Stegostoma tigrinum: one gene and its partner. The protein of the gene in region 1 interacts with the protein of each later gene in a pairwise test. Links are inferred from orthologs where the notes say so. Each region holds a gene or a part of one and is shown on either strand. Other genes may lie near its edges.

Region 1 (7,182 bases):
GAGGCCCAAGGACAGAGCCCTGTGGAACACCACTCACCACTGACTTCCAGGCAGAATATTTTCCTTCTACTACCACTCGCTGTCTTCTGTTGGCCAGCCAATTCTGTATCCCTGTATCCCATTCCTCCTGACCTTCTGAATGAGCGTACCATGGGGAACCTTATCAAAAGCCTTGCTGAAGTCCATATACACCACATCCACCCTCATCAACTTTTCTAGGCACATCCTCAAAGAACTCGATAAGGTTTGTGATGCATGACAGGCCCCTCACAAAGCCGTGTTGACTGCATTTAATCAAGCCATGCTCTTCCAGATGGTCATAAATCCTATCCCTCAGAATCCTTTCTAACACCTTGCAGACGACAGACGTGAGACTTACTGGTCTGTAATTGCCGGGGATTTCCCTATTTCCTTTCTTGAAGAGAGGAATTACATTTGCCTCTCTCCAGTCCTCAGGTCCGACTCCAGTGGAGAGTGAGGATGCAAAGATCTTCGCAAGTGGTGAAGCAACTGCATTTCTCGTTTCCAAAAGCAGCCGAGGACAAATCTGGTCCGGGCCTGGCGACTTGTCAATCTTAATGTTTGACAAAATTTTCAGCACGTCAGCTTCTTCTATCTCTATCCATTCCAGCATGCACACCTGCTCTTCAAAGGTTTCATTCACTACAAAGTTCGTTTCTTTCGTAAAGACAGAAGTAAGAAACTCATTTAGGGCGTCCCCTACCTCCTCAGATTCCACACACAAGTTCCCTATGCTATCCCTGATCGGCCCTACTCTTTCTTTGACCATTCTCTTATTCCTCACATAAGTGTACAATGCCTTTGTGTTCTCCCTAATCCGTTCTGCCAAGCCTTTCTCGTGCCCCCTCCTGGCTCTCCTCAGACCATTTTGGAGCTCTTTCCTCGCCTGCCTGTAATCCTCTAGAGCTCAGCTTGACCCTAGCTTCCTCCACCTTATGTAAGCTACCTTCTTCCTTTTCACAAGAAGCTCCACCACTCTCGTCATCCAAGGTTCCTTTATCTTACCCCTTCTTGCCTGTCTCAGAGGGACATATTTATTCATCACTCGCAACAACTGTTCCTTAAACAGTCTCCACATGTCTATAGTGCCTTTACCATGGAACAATTTCTCCCAGTCCATGCTTCCTAACTCATGTCTAATCGCATCATAGTTTCCTCTTCCCCAATTAAATATCCTCCCATTTTGCCTAATCCTCTCCTTCTCCATAGCTATGTAGAATGTGAGACAGTTATGGTCACTATCACCAAAATGCTGTCCCACCACAAGATCTGATACCTGCCCCGGCTCGTTTCCGAGCACCAAGTCTAGAATGGCCTCTCCCCTCGTCGGCCTGTCAACGTACTGCGTTAGGAAACCCTCCTGAACACACCTTACAAAAACAGCTCCATTCAAACCTTCTGCTCGAAGGAGGTTCCAATCAATATTGGGAAAGTTAAAGTCACCCATAACAACAACCCTACTACATCCGCACTTTTCCAAAATCTGCCGACCTATACTTTCTTCAATCTCCCTGCTGCTATTGGGGGGCCTGTAGTAAACCCCTAACGAGGTGACTACTCCCTTGCTGTTCCTAATTTCCACCAACACTGACTCAGTAGGCAGATCTTCCTCGACAATGGAAGCTTCTGTAGCTGTGATACCCTCTCTGATTAGTAGTGCTACACCCCCTCCTCTTTTTCCCCCCTCCCTATTCTTTTTAAATGCTCTAAACCCTGGAACATCCAGCAACCATTCCTGCCCCTGAGAAACCCATGTCTCTGTTATGGCCACAATATCATAGCACCAGGTACTGATCCATGCTCTAAGTTCATCACTTTTATTCCTGATACTCCTTGCGTTAAAGCAAACACACTTTAACTGATCCCTTGGTTCCTTCCCAGGAAAATCCTTCCCACTAGCTGGTCTACCTCTTGCTATGGCCTCACCTGCATCAACTCTCACCTCCGGTACCCACCCCCCTGCCATACTAGTTTAAACCGTCTCAAACTACTCGAGCAAACCTTCCACCCAGGACTTTGGTCCCCTTCCAGTTCAGATGCAACCCGTCCTTCTTGTACAGGTCCCACCTTCCCCAGAAGGCATCCCAATTATCTACATATCTGAAGCCCTCCCTCCTACACCAGCTGCGCAGCCACGTGTTAAGCTGCGCCTGCTCCCTGTTCCTCGCCTCGCTATCTCGTGGCACCGGTAGTAAACTAGAGAACACTACTCTGTTCGTCCTGCTTTGCAGCTTCCATCCTAACTCCCTGAAATCACTTTTTATATCCTCAATCCTTTGTCTGGCTATATCGTTAGTGCCAATATGTAACACGATTTCTGGCTGTTCGCCCTCCCCTTTTAGAACCTTATACACCCGATCGGAAACGTCCCGGACCCTGGCACCAGGGAGGCAACATACCTTCCAGGAATCCTGATCCTGACCACAAAATCTCCTGTCGATTCCCCTAACTATCGAGTCGCCTACCACGAGTACTTTTCTATTCTGCCCCCTTCCCTCCTTTGCCACAGTATCAGGCTCAGTGCCAGAGAACTGACTACTATGACTTTCCTCTGGTAGGTCATCCCCCCCAGCAGTATCCAAAACGGTATACTTATTGCTGAGGGGAATGCCCACAGGGGATCTCCGCACTGTCTCTATCCCCTTTCCTCCCCCTAACTGTAACCCATCTATCCTTGTCCTGAGCCTTAGGAGTGACCAACTCCCGGTATCTCCTCTCAATTACCCCCTCTGCCTCCCGAATGATCCGTAGTTCATCCAGCTCCAGCTCCATTTCCCTAACACGGTTTCCAAGGAGCTGGAGTTGGGTGCACTTCCCGCAGATGTAGCCAGCGGAGACGTGTGCCATGTCTCCCACCTGCCACATTCTGCAGGAAGAGCAAGCAACTGCTCTAGCATCCATACCCCACTTATCTGAACACCCACTCATATCTGAAACCCTCCCTCGTACACCATCTGTTTAGCTGTACTATCCTCTTATTTCTAGCCTCACTGGCACCTGGCACAGGGAGTAATCTGGAGATTACAACCTTGGAGGTCCTGCTTTTTAACTTTCTACCTAACTCCCTGAACTGCTGCTGCAAGACTTCATCACACATCCTACCTATGTGGTCAGTACCAATATGTACCACGACCTCTGGCTGTTCACCCTCTCCCTTCAGAATGCTTCAGAGACATCCTGGACCCTGGCACCAGGGAGGCAACTGACCATCCTGGAGTCTCTTTTACATCTACAGAAATGCCTATCTGTACCCCTAACTATACAGTCCCCCATATCTAGTGCTCTTTGTTCTTCCCTTAAGAACAGAGCCAGCTGTGGTGCCACCAGTCTGGCTGTTACTGTTGTTATCCCCTGATAGGTCATTCCTCTCCAACAGTATCCAAAATGGTATTCTTGTTAGAGAGGAGGACAACCACAGGGGATACCAGCACTGGCTGTCTGCGACTTCTATTGGTCACCCATCTACCTGCCTGCACCTTGGGTGTTACCACATCTCTAAAACTACTGTCTATGATGCTTTCTGCCATTCTCATGGTCCTACGTGCATCCAATTGCTGCTGCAACATATCCACACATTCTGTGAGAAGCTGCAATTGGTTGCACTTCCTGCAGATGGATCTCTCACATCTCACAAGTGCAGCACTTAATGCCACTGACTGACATTTCTATGGCCAATTAAGCAGCTTAAGTAAAGTTTATTTAATGTCTCTTCCCACTTATACTGTATTTTCCTCCCATCTGCTCTCTCACTCACCCACCCAATCTCCTCTGGCTGGTCTCCCCCCGTTTATCTCCTTTCCCCAGTGCCTTCTCATGCCTACCCCCCATGCCTCTACTTCCATTGGTGGTACGTCTGCTCTCACAATACCCTCTTTGGCATGCTCTCAGATCACCCTGAACTCACTTCTCACCTTGTACCCTATCTTTCCCCACCACTGTAACCCCCCCCCCCCCGAGAGCCTACCATGCTACTGCTGGTCCCTTTTCTCTGCAATTCAGTGTGCACTCTTCCCAGCTATGGGTCTGCCCTTGTTCTCGACTTAGTGCTATCTCCACCCTCACAGCCCAGGGTGCCCAGGCCAGCCCCGCCTCTTCTCACACGTGACCCCCCACATTAACGGACCGCCGCCTGGCCCCTCCTACCGGAAGTTTCCGTGCGTGGTAGCGTCAGGTGGGCCGCCATGATTCGGCTGCGGTGTGGCCTGTTTCTCGGGACGTCCGGGGATGCGGCGACGATCCACCCGGACACCGGTATCTCCCATGTGCTGACCGTGGACTCCAACGAGCCGCCGCCTCTCGGTGACCGGCGGACGATGTTTGTGCGGGCGCTGGACGATGCAGCCGCCGACCTGCTGAGCTTTCTGGACGATTGCGTGCGGTTTGTGCAGGAGGCGCTGTCTGCAGCAGGAGCTGCTGTCCTGGTTCATTGGTACATTGACTGCTTCCCATTGACACCAAACACACTGCTCCTGTATCTCTTCACACTCGCCATTACCAGCTACTATAGGCAGGTCTATACCTGGAAACAAATTCTCAGTTAAAGCAAATAACATGTCAATAAAGGGCAAGGTGCCGAAGCAGAAAGCTTTTAAACATTTATATTGAATATCGAAAGCAACACTGCTCCAGCAACTTTCTGAAGAAGATTCCCGACCCCAACTGTCAGCTTTCCTGCTCCTGTGTTGCTGCCTGTGTTCGTTCAGCTCCACGCTGTGTTATCCCCTACTCCAGCATCTGCAGTTCTTGCTATCTCCGGCAACTTCTGTTTTTGTTTTAGAAATAGCTCATTTGTTTTCCAGTGAAACATGATCTAGCAAAGCATGAGCTACTTTAGGTTTACAGACGTATAAACGCAGCGCAAATGTTGGGAAAGAAATTATCTTACACCATTGACAATAAAACAAGGAACTGTGGATGCTGTAGATATGAAACAAACAAAATTAGTAGGTCTGTGGAGAAACAGCATCTGTGAAGAGAAAGCAGTATACGTTTTGAGTCTGGTGAAAGGTCGCTGTTTCCTCTCCGTAGATGCTGCCAAACGTGCTGAGTTTCTCCAAAAACTTGTTTTTATTGTTTATCTTTCGTATTTGATCCTCCATTGAATTTCATGTGTCAGTTGTATCTTAGACATGAGCCAGAGCTATGATTGTTGCCAGTCTGTCCACTGTTCCCCATATCTCGAAGTTAACTCCATGGTGTGACTTTGAACTGCAGTTAGTAACTGCATTTAACTTGTTTTTTTTTAAGAATTCTGCGTTTAATTTTGAAATTGGTCTTTGAGGGCTGTTGTGTGAAATCTTAGAGCAAACAGTTAGTGTTGTGCCCGTAAAGAAGAGCCAAACTGGACTTGAAACGTTAACTCTGTTTCTGTCTCCATTGGTGCTGTCAGACTTGACAAATTGCTCTGGCGTTATCTGTTTATGTCTAAGGGAGAATGTTGCTTGCAAGTTAATATTATTATAGCTTTACTCACCTGTACAGGAGTTCCTGCTCAATTCTGAGGAAGAGTCACTGAACCCAAAACGTTAACTTTTTTTCGTCACAGATGCTGCCAGACCTGCTGACCTTTTCCAGCAACTTTGTCTTTGTCCCTTTTTGCAAGGGCTGGGCCAAGAACCTCCATTGAATTCGCCCACCCTTATGTGCAAAGTACTGCTGTGCTTTTCCATTGCGCCTGCAGGATGGCTGACCAGAAAACTTTCCACTCTTACAGCTAAACAAAAATCTGAAAGAACTGTAGATTCTAGAAATCAGAAACAAAAACAGAAATTGCTGGACAAACTCAGCAGCTATGGCAGCATCTGTAAAAAGAAATCAGAGTTAATGTTTTGGACCAGTAACCCATCTTCAGAACCTCAGTATTTACAGCGATCAGGATTTAGAGATGGATAGTAATCCTGTTGGCTCACATTACAAATGCACCTTCTATGGTCAACAAGCATTGCCAAATAAAGAGACCAGGTGCACAATTCCTTGAAAGTGGAGTTGCCGGTAGACAGGGTGGTAAGTTTGGCATTACATTCATTGGTCAGAACATTGGGTGTAGGGGTTGGGACATCATTGGGGTCATACAGCACAGAAACCGATCCTTTGGTCCTACCAGTCCATGCTAACCATAATCCCAAACTAAACTGGTCTCACCTGCCTGCTCGTGGCCCATATACGTCCAAACCTTTCCTATTCATGTACTTATCCAAATGTCTTTTAAACATTGTAATTGTACCCACATTCACTACTTCCTCTGGAAGTTCATTCCACTCACGAACCATACCTCTGTGTGGGAAAAAAAATGCTGCTCATGTCTTTTTTAAATCTCTCCTATCACCTTAAAAATATGTCCCCAATCTTGAAATCCCCCATGTTAGGGAAAAGACAACTGCCTTTTAACTCTAACTATACCTGTAACTATTTCGTAAACTTCTATAAGGTCACCTCACAACCTCCTATGCTCCAGTGAAAATAGTCTCAGCCTGTCCAACCTTTCTTTATAACTCAAACCATCCATACCTGGCAACATCCTGGTAAATCTCTTCTGAATGCTCTCCAGCTTGATAGTATCCTCCCTATAACTGGGTGGCTAGAACTGGACACAGTATTCCTTTAGGGGCCTCACCAATATCGTGTACAACCTCAACATGACTTCCCAAATCCTATACTCAAAGGACTGAACAATGAAGGCAAGCATGCCAAATGTTTTTTTTTAACCATCCTGTCTATGTGTGACACAAAATTCAAAGAACCCCTAGGTCCCTCTGTCTTACAACAGTATCCAAGGCCCTACCCTTGTTTATTGCACCAAACTGCAATGCCTCAGATTGAACTCCATCTGCCATTCATCAGCCAATTGACATTTCATCAACATCCCTTTGTAAGCTTAGAAAACCTTCACTGACTGCTATGCCACCAATTTTGGTGACGTCCGCAAACTTACTGACCATGCTTTCTGTATTCTCATATAAATGATTAATATAAATGGCAAACAGATGAGGACCCCGAACCGATCTCTGGTGGAACAATGCTGGTGACAGGCCTCCACCACTGAAAAGCAACCTTCCACCATCACACTCTGTCTCCTACTGTTAAGCCAACTATGTATCCAAATGGCAAGCTCACCCCGAATCCTACGTGATCTAACTTTACTAATTAGTCTACCATGCGGAA
Region 2 (6,916 bases), on another chromosome or scaffold:
CACCCTCCCACCCAGCTTTGTCTCATCTGCAAACTTGGAGATGTCACATTTAGCTCCCTCGTTTAAATCATTAACATATATTGTGAATAGTTAGGGTCCAAGCGGTGATCCCTGTGGTACCAATAGTCACTAGCTGCCATTTGGAATACAAACTTTTTATTCCTATTCTTTGTTTCTTGTTTGCCAACCAGTTCTCAATCTACGTCAGTACATTACCCCTAATCCCATGCGCTTTAATTTTGCATGGTAACGTCTTATGTGGGACCTTATCAAAAGCCTTCTAAAAGTCCAAGCAAAACAAATCCCTGGCACTCCTTACAACAGTACTTGTTACATCCACGAAAATTTCGAATAGATTTGTCACGTATGATTTTCCTTACATAAATCCATGCTGACTCTGTTCAATTCTGTCACTGTTTTCCAAATGCTCTTCTAATAAATCTTTTATAATGTGCCTTAGACATTTCCCTACAATCACATCAGGCTAACTGGTCTATCCCTGTTTTATTTCTACCTCCTTTTAAAAACTGTTTGGTTACATTAGTTACCCTCCAAAGTCTACAAAATCTGGAAAGATGATCACCAACGCACCCACTATTTCTATGGTCATTTCCTTACATAATCTGGGATGTAGATTATTGGACCCTACAGATTTATCAGTTTTCAATCCCATCAATTTACCCTGATTTTCCCATCTGATTTCCTTCAGTTCCTCTGTCTCACTACACTGTCTTTCCCAACAGTTCAAGGACATTTTTTGGGTTATCCTTTGTGAATACAGAATGAAAATAATTATTTAATTGATCTGCCATCTCTGTTTTCTATTATAATAACCCCTATATCTGATTGGTGGCTGCTTCAGAGTGCCGGGGCCCTGAATTTGATTCCACCCTCAGGTGACTGTCTGCATGGAGTTTGCACGTTCTCCCCGTGTCTGCGTGGGTTTTCTCCAGGTGCTCCAGTTTCCTCCCACAGTCCAAAGATGTGCAGGCTAGGTGGATTGACCATGCTAAATTGCCTGCAGTGTTCAGGGATGTGTAGATTATGGGTCTGGGTGAGATGCAATGAGGTTCGGTGTGGACTTGTTGGGCTGAAGGGCCTGTTTCCACACTGTAGGGTTTCTATGAAAACTACACTTGTCTTTACAAGTGTTTTTTTTTCTTCACATAGTTATGGATGATCTTACAATCAGTTGGTAAAAAGATACAAGGGGCAGGTCCTTACCTCTGGGCTAAAAGGCCTGGGATCAAGGCCCACCTACTCCAGAGGTTGTCATGGTATGTTCTGAACAGGTTGATTAAAATCATCTGTAAGGAACCACTCCTTGTGGCAAGCTAACCAGTTTCTAACTTGTGAGCTAATATTAATGTGTACTTACATGCTACACCTCTTGATTTTTGCCCTCTGAAGTTTGTGCGCAGCTGCAATGTCCAAACATGTATATCAATGTGTCAGTCATGCAGTTCAGAAGAAACACTGCTTACACTCAAGATAATAAAATGTGAGGCTGGATGAACACAGCAGGCCAAGCAGCATCTCAGGAGCACAAAAGCTGACGTTTCGGGCCTAGACCCTTCATCAGAGCTTATTCCAAGATAATAAAATGTGAGGCTGGATGAGCACAGCAGGCCAAGCAGCATGTGCTCCTGAGATGCTGCTTGGCCTGCTGTGTTCATCCAGCCTCACATTTTATTATCTTGGAATTCTCCAGCATCTGCAGTTCCCATTATCTCTGACACTGCTTACACTCATGTATGTCTCACAGGAGGGTGCCACATTACATCAGTAATATAAACAGTCATTAAGGACTATGTATTAAAATTATTCTGTTCAACAAGACAGAGCCTCTCTTCTCCTGAAGGCTTTAAATGAATAGTCTTCTCCATGTGGAATCACTAAGTGTAGACTATTAGCAATAAAAAGAGTTGATGGCAGTGAATCTGCCCAAGGCATCTCAGATGGCCAACATAAACCATGCATATAGCAACGCAGATTTTGTAATATAGAACATGAATGATATAGAATTCTTCCTTTCACATTTTTGACGAAGGAGGAATTTCTTCCGTTATAGGGTGATGAATCTGTGGAATACTTTACCATAGAGGGCTAGCAAAGTTGGGTCATTAAGTACGTCCAAGGTTGGAGCAGACAGACTTTGTAAACTAAGGGAATCAAGGGAGATAGAGAAAAGGCAGGAACGTAGAATTGAGGATTATAGATCAACCATGATGTCATTGAATGACGGAGCAGACTCAATAGGCCAAATTCGATTCTGCCCGCAATTAAAAATAATCATGGCTGATCATTCAGCTCAATACACTTTTCCCACATTCACCTCATAATATTTGATTCCTTTAGCCCTAAGAACTATCTTCTTCATGAACACATTCAATGTTTGGCCTCAGCAGTTTTCTGTGGCAGTGAATTCCATTGGCTCACCACTCTCTGGAATGGAGTTGAAGATTATCAGATCAGCCAAGATCTCATAGAATGGTAAAACAAACTTAATGGGCTGAATGACCTAATTCTGCTTCTACAGCTTATGGTCTCATGGAATGAGTGCCTCCTGAGTTGCAGGCAATCACTGATTTGATGAAAATGATTTAGAAATTCTTGAAAGAATGATTCTTAAAAGGCTTGAGTTAAGCATTTGGAAAGAAAATTAATTAGAGACTAAAATAGAGTCATCACAGTTCTACCAGATAACAGGGCTGCTTTCTCACTCAGAGCTAGTAATAACTGCAATGCTGGAGTCAGAGATAACACAGTATGGAGCTGGAGGAACACAGTAGGCCAGGCAGCATCAGAGGAGCAGATTTCTGAAGAAGGGTTGTGATGTCAACTGTCCTGCTCTTCTGATGCTTCCTGGCCTGCTGTATTCCTCCAGCTCCACACAGTGCTACCTTAGGGCTGCTTTCTCAGATATTTTGTAACAACCTGTTCAGAGATGTTATGACACACCTCTGGGTCAGGTGGGGCTTAAACCCAGACCTCCTGGTCCACAACAGCCATCAGGGCTACTCTCTCATTACAGGTGAAATGTTGAGGACAGCGATCTGAGGTGATGCAGGTTGTTGAGTCTAGGCTCTGCATAACAAATCAACCATCCAATGGTATCAATGTGGACTTCACAAGCTTCAAAATCTCACCCCCCCACCGCATCCCAAAACCAGTCCAGCCTTGTCCCCGCCTCTCTAACCTGTCCTTCTTCCCACCTATCCCCTCCTCCCACCTCAAGCCCCACCTCCATTTCCTACCTACTAACCTCATCCCGCCCCCTTGATGTCTGTCCTCACTGGACTGACCAATTTTCTCCCTAACTTCCCACCTACACTCACCTTTACTGGATCCATCCCTGCCTTTTGACTTCTGTCTCCTCTCCACCTATCTTCTCCTTTATCCATCAATCCGCCTCCCACCCCTCCCTATTTATTTCTTCCCCTTCCCCTCCCCCAATTCTGAAGAAGGGGCCAGACCCGAAACGTCAGCTTTCCTGCTCCTCTGATGCTGCTCGGCCGGCTGTGTTCATCCAGCTTCATACACTTTGTTATCTCCGACCATCCAACCAACAGACTTAACCGAACCACTCAAGAAGGTCCAGAAACGGTGCAAGTCCTGAAATTGTGTGATATGTGCACATGCAGCGAGATTGGAAGACATGGCAATAAAAAAGAGCCCCCTTCATGGAAGACGTGCTGATAACCTGGAGCAAGGTGGCACCCTGAATGTCCCGGGCTCTTGCCACGTGCCACAACAAGGCGTGTATCATTTCTGCAAAGGCGGGAGATCCTCGCGTTGCCGGGGTGACCGAGGCGCGCGCGATTTGGAAGGGGGTAGCGGGGCGGAGGCGCTGTTCACGCGAGACCCGTTGTGCGGTCTGGGGGTGGGAGGGGCTGAAGCGGGGGCGGGGGGAAACAAGAGGCGTGAGAAGCTGGCTGACAGGCCTTTGGGGTAGGAAGGCGAGAGCAACAGGTAAGGTGAATGTGCCGTAGCTCTCGGTGTTGAGTTACATTAGAGTACCCTCCTATTCCCGTTGCCGTGTGCCATTCCACAGAGCGGCCTGCAGTAGCAGCTGAGGGCTGGATGGCATGGCAACCAAACGCCAGGCTTCAGTTCCCCCACATAGGCCAGCCCCCTTTTCTACGCCTCCTCCCTTTCGTATCATGTTTGCACTTCAGTCAGAACCATGTTGATTTTACGTTTTGTTTTCTAATCCACCTCTTCAGAACTGTTATGACAGCAACTCATATTTCGCTTGGGAACGCTGCAGCCCAGTGGTATCAACGTGGGCTTCACAAGCTTCAAAATCTCCCCTTCCCCCACTGCATCCCAAAACCAGCCCAGTTCGTCCCCTCCACCCACTGCATCCCAAAACCAGTCCAGCCTGTCTCTGCCTCCCTAACCAGTTCTTCCTCTCACCTATCCCTTCCTCCCACCTCAAGCCGCACCTCCATTTCCTACCTACTAGCCTCATCCCACCTCCTTGACCTATCCCCTCCCTACCTCCCCACCTATACTCTCCTCTCCACCTATCTTGTTTTCTCTCCATCTTTGGTCTGCCTCCCCCTCTCTCCCTATTTATTCCAGTTCCCTCTCCCCATCCCCCTCTCTGATGAAGGGTCTAGGCCTGAAACGTCAGCTTTTGTGCTCCTGAGATGGTGCTTGGCCTGTTGTGTTCATCCAGCTCCACACTTTGTGGTCTTGAACCCCAGCCTCCTTGTGCAGAGATAGGGACACTGCCATTGCACCACAAGAACCCTGGCAGCATTCTTTTAAAAAGGGATTTTTATAGGATGAAGGAAGTCGTTTTTAGCAAATCAAGTATTTTATTTGAAGCAAGACTCTGATTTTAGGGATGATTTCTATAGCTTTTTGACTTTACAAAAAAAACTACCCCCCCGTCCCTCTATACTGTGCCTAGTCCATGAATTTCCATCTTATTTTGCCCTGAATTAGTTGAGGGTTTACTTGTACCTCATGATTTTAAAACGACTGCCTTGCATATCCATGTTGAAGATTTTATTTTGTTTTGGTTGCCGTGTATGTGTTTTGCATAAAAGTGTAACTGTTGGTTTTTGTAAAATTATGTCTTGATGTAATGTTGATATAATTGATATTTGGGTGAATCCACCAATTTGAAATTGTAAAGAGCCTTTATAATATAACTCCTTTATGAGATGTGGGCACTACTGGATGGTCTAGCATTTATTGACCATCATTTATTGCCCTTTACAACGAGGTGACAAGCCATTTTCTTGAACTGCTGCAGTCCCATTGCTCTAGGTGGACCACAAAGCAGATGCAGAGGTATACAGCTTGGAAACAGATTGTTTAGTCCAACCCATGCTGACCAGAAATCACAATCTGACCTAGTTCCATTTGCCAGCATTTGGCCCATATTTCCCTCACTTTTTGTTCTCTGATGAAAGGTCTAGGCCCGAAATGCCAGCTTTTGTGCTCCTAAGATGCTGCTTGGCCTTCTGTGTTCATCCAGCTCCACACTTCATTGTCTCCGATTCTTCAGCATCTGCAGTTCCCATCATCTCTCTCCCCCTCATTCCTTCCTATTCATATACATATCCTTCTAAATGTTATTGTACCCATTTCCTCCTCTTCCCTGGCAGCCTCTTGTATACGTGCCCGTCCATCAATGTAGCTATTAGGGAGGCAGTTGAGGGCCAGTGATTTAATTCCAAGGATTTTCCTGTACATCTGCTGCCCTTCTTATAGATGATAAAATCATTAATAGGAGCAGGAGTAGGCCATTCAATCCCTTGAGCCATTTTGTAGGCTCATAGTGGATTCTGTTTCTGTTTGCTAGATCAACTAACAGCAGATTTCGTGGGATTGAAAGGTGTTAGGAGAGTTCCTGTGCTGCAGCTTGTATATGGTATATATTATATGCCACTTGCATAAGAAGTAAAAGTTGAGGGTGGTGGATGGGTGCTTACTACGAAGACCACTTGGTTCTGGATGGTGTTGAGCTCCTTGTTAGAATTGCACTCATGAGAGCAGAAATAGGATATTCAGGCTATTGAGTCTTCTGTGCCATTTGATGGGCTCATACTTGATCAAATAGCCGTGTGTTCCACTTTCCTACCTTTCCCCCATAACACAGGATGTCCTTGCTGTTTAAAAAAACTGCCTATCTCAGCTTTGAATGTATTTAATGACCCAGCCCCGGATATACTTAACAACCCAGCCCTGACTGCCCTCTGAAGTAAAGAATTTCACAGATTGCCCAATCTTTGAGAAGTGGGAAAAGATACTCCTTACTGCTGCCCAAAATGGGTGACCCCTTTCTCAGATTATATCTTCTGGTCTGGACTCTTCCCACAAGGGGAAACAACCTCTCCACAACTACCCTGTCAAGCCTGTCAAGAATCTTGCATTTCAGTGAGGCCATCTTGCATTTTTCTAAACTCTAATGAGTACAAGATACTTCAGTTAAATGCTGTCTTAAAGTTATGGGAAGTTACTCTTCCTTTATCTCTTGAGGACGTCAAGTTTATTTAAGAACATAGAACATTACAGCACAGTACAGGCCCTTCGGCCCTCGATGTTGTGCTGACCTGTCATACCGATCTGAAGCCCGTCTAACCTACACTATTTCATGTACGTCCATATGCTTATCCAATGATGACTTAAATGTACTTAAAGTTGGCGAATCTACTGCCGTTGCAGGCAAAGCGTTCCATTCCCTTACTACTCTCTGAGTAAAGAAACTACCTCTGACACCTGTCCTATATCTTTCACCCCTCAATTTAAAGCTATGCTCCCTTGTGCTCGCCGTCACCATCCTAGGAAAAAGGCTCTCCCTATCCACCCCATCTAACCCTCTGATTATCTTACATGTCTCAATTAAGTCACCTCTCAACCTTCTTCTCTCTAATGAAAACAGCCTCAAGACCCTCCC

What was found. The genes of interacting proteins can lie anywhere in the genome.
Region 2: the proteins of dusp12 (region 1) and ppp2r3b interact in binary tests that used the Homo sapiens proteins (3 or more experiments, as listed by UniProt). The two-hybrid records come from large-scale screens. The link is inferred for Stegostoma tigrinum from reciprocal best matches to the Homo sapiens genes DUSP12 and PPP2R3B.

The regions. Positions count from the first base shown.
Region 1 is NC_081361.1:42,796,991-42,804,172, reverse strand, and holds the start of dusp12 (dual specificity protein phosphatase 12), read left to right. Parts: upstream 1-4,171; 5' UTR 4,172-4,202; coding exon 4,203-4,528; intron 4,529-7,182. UniProt on the Homo sapiens protein: Dual specificity phosphatase; can dephosphorylate both phosphotyrosine and phosphoserine or phosphothreonine residues. Can dephosphorylate glucokinase (in vitro).
Region 2 is NC_081359.1:98,680,009-98,686,924, reverse strand, and holds the start of ppp2r3b (serine/threonine-protein phosphatase 2A regulatory subunit B'' subunit beta), read left to right. Parts: upstream 1-3,905; 5' UTR 3,906-3,972; intron 3,973-6,916. UniProt on the Homo sapiens protein: The B regulatory subunit might modulate substrate selectivity and catalytic activity, and might also direct the localization of the catalytic enzyme to a particular subcellular compartment.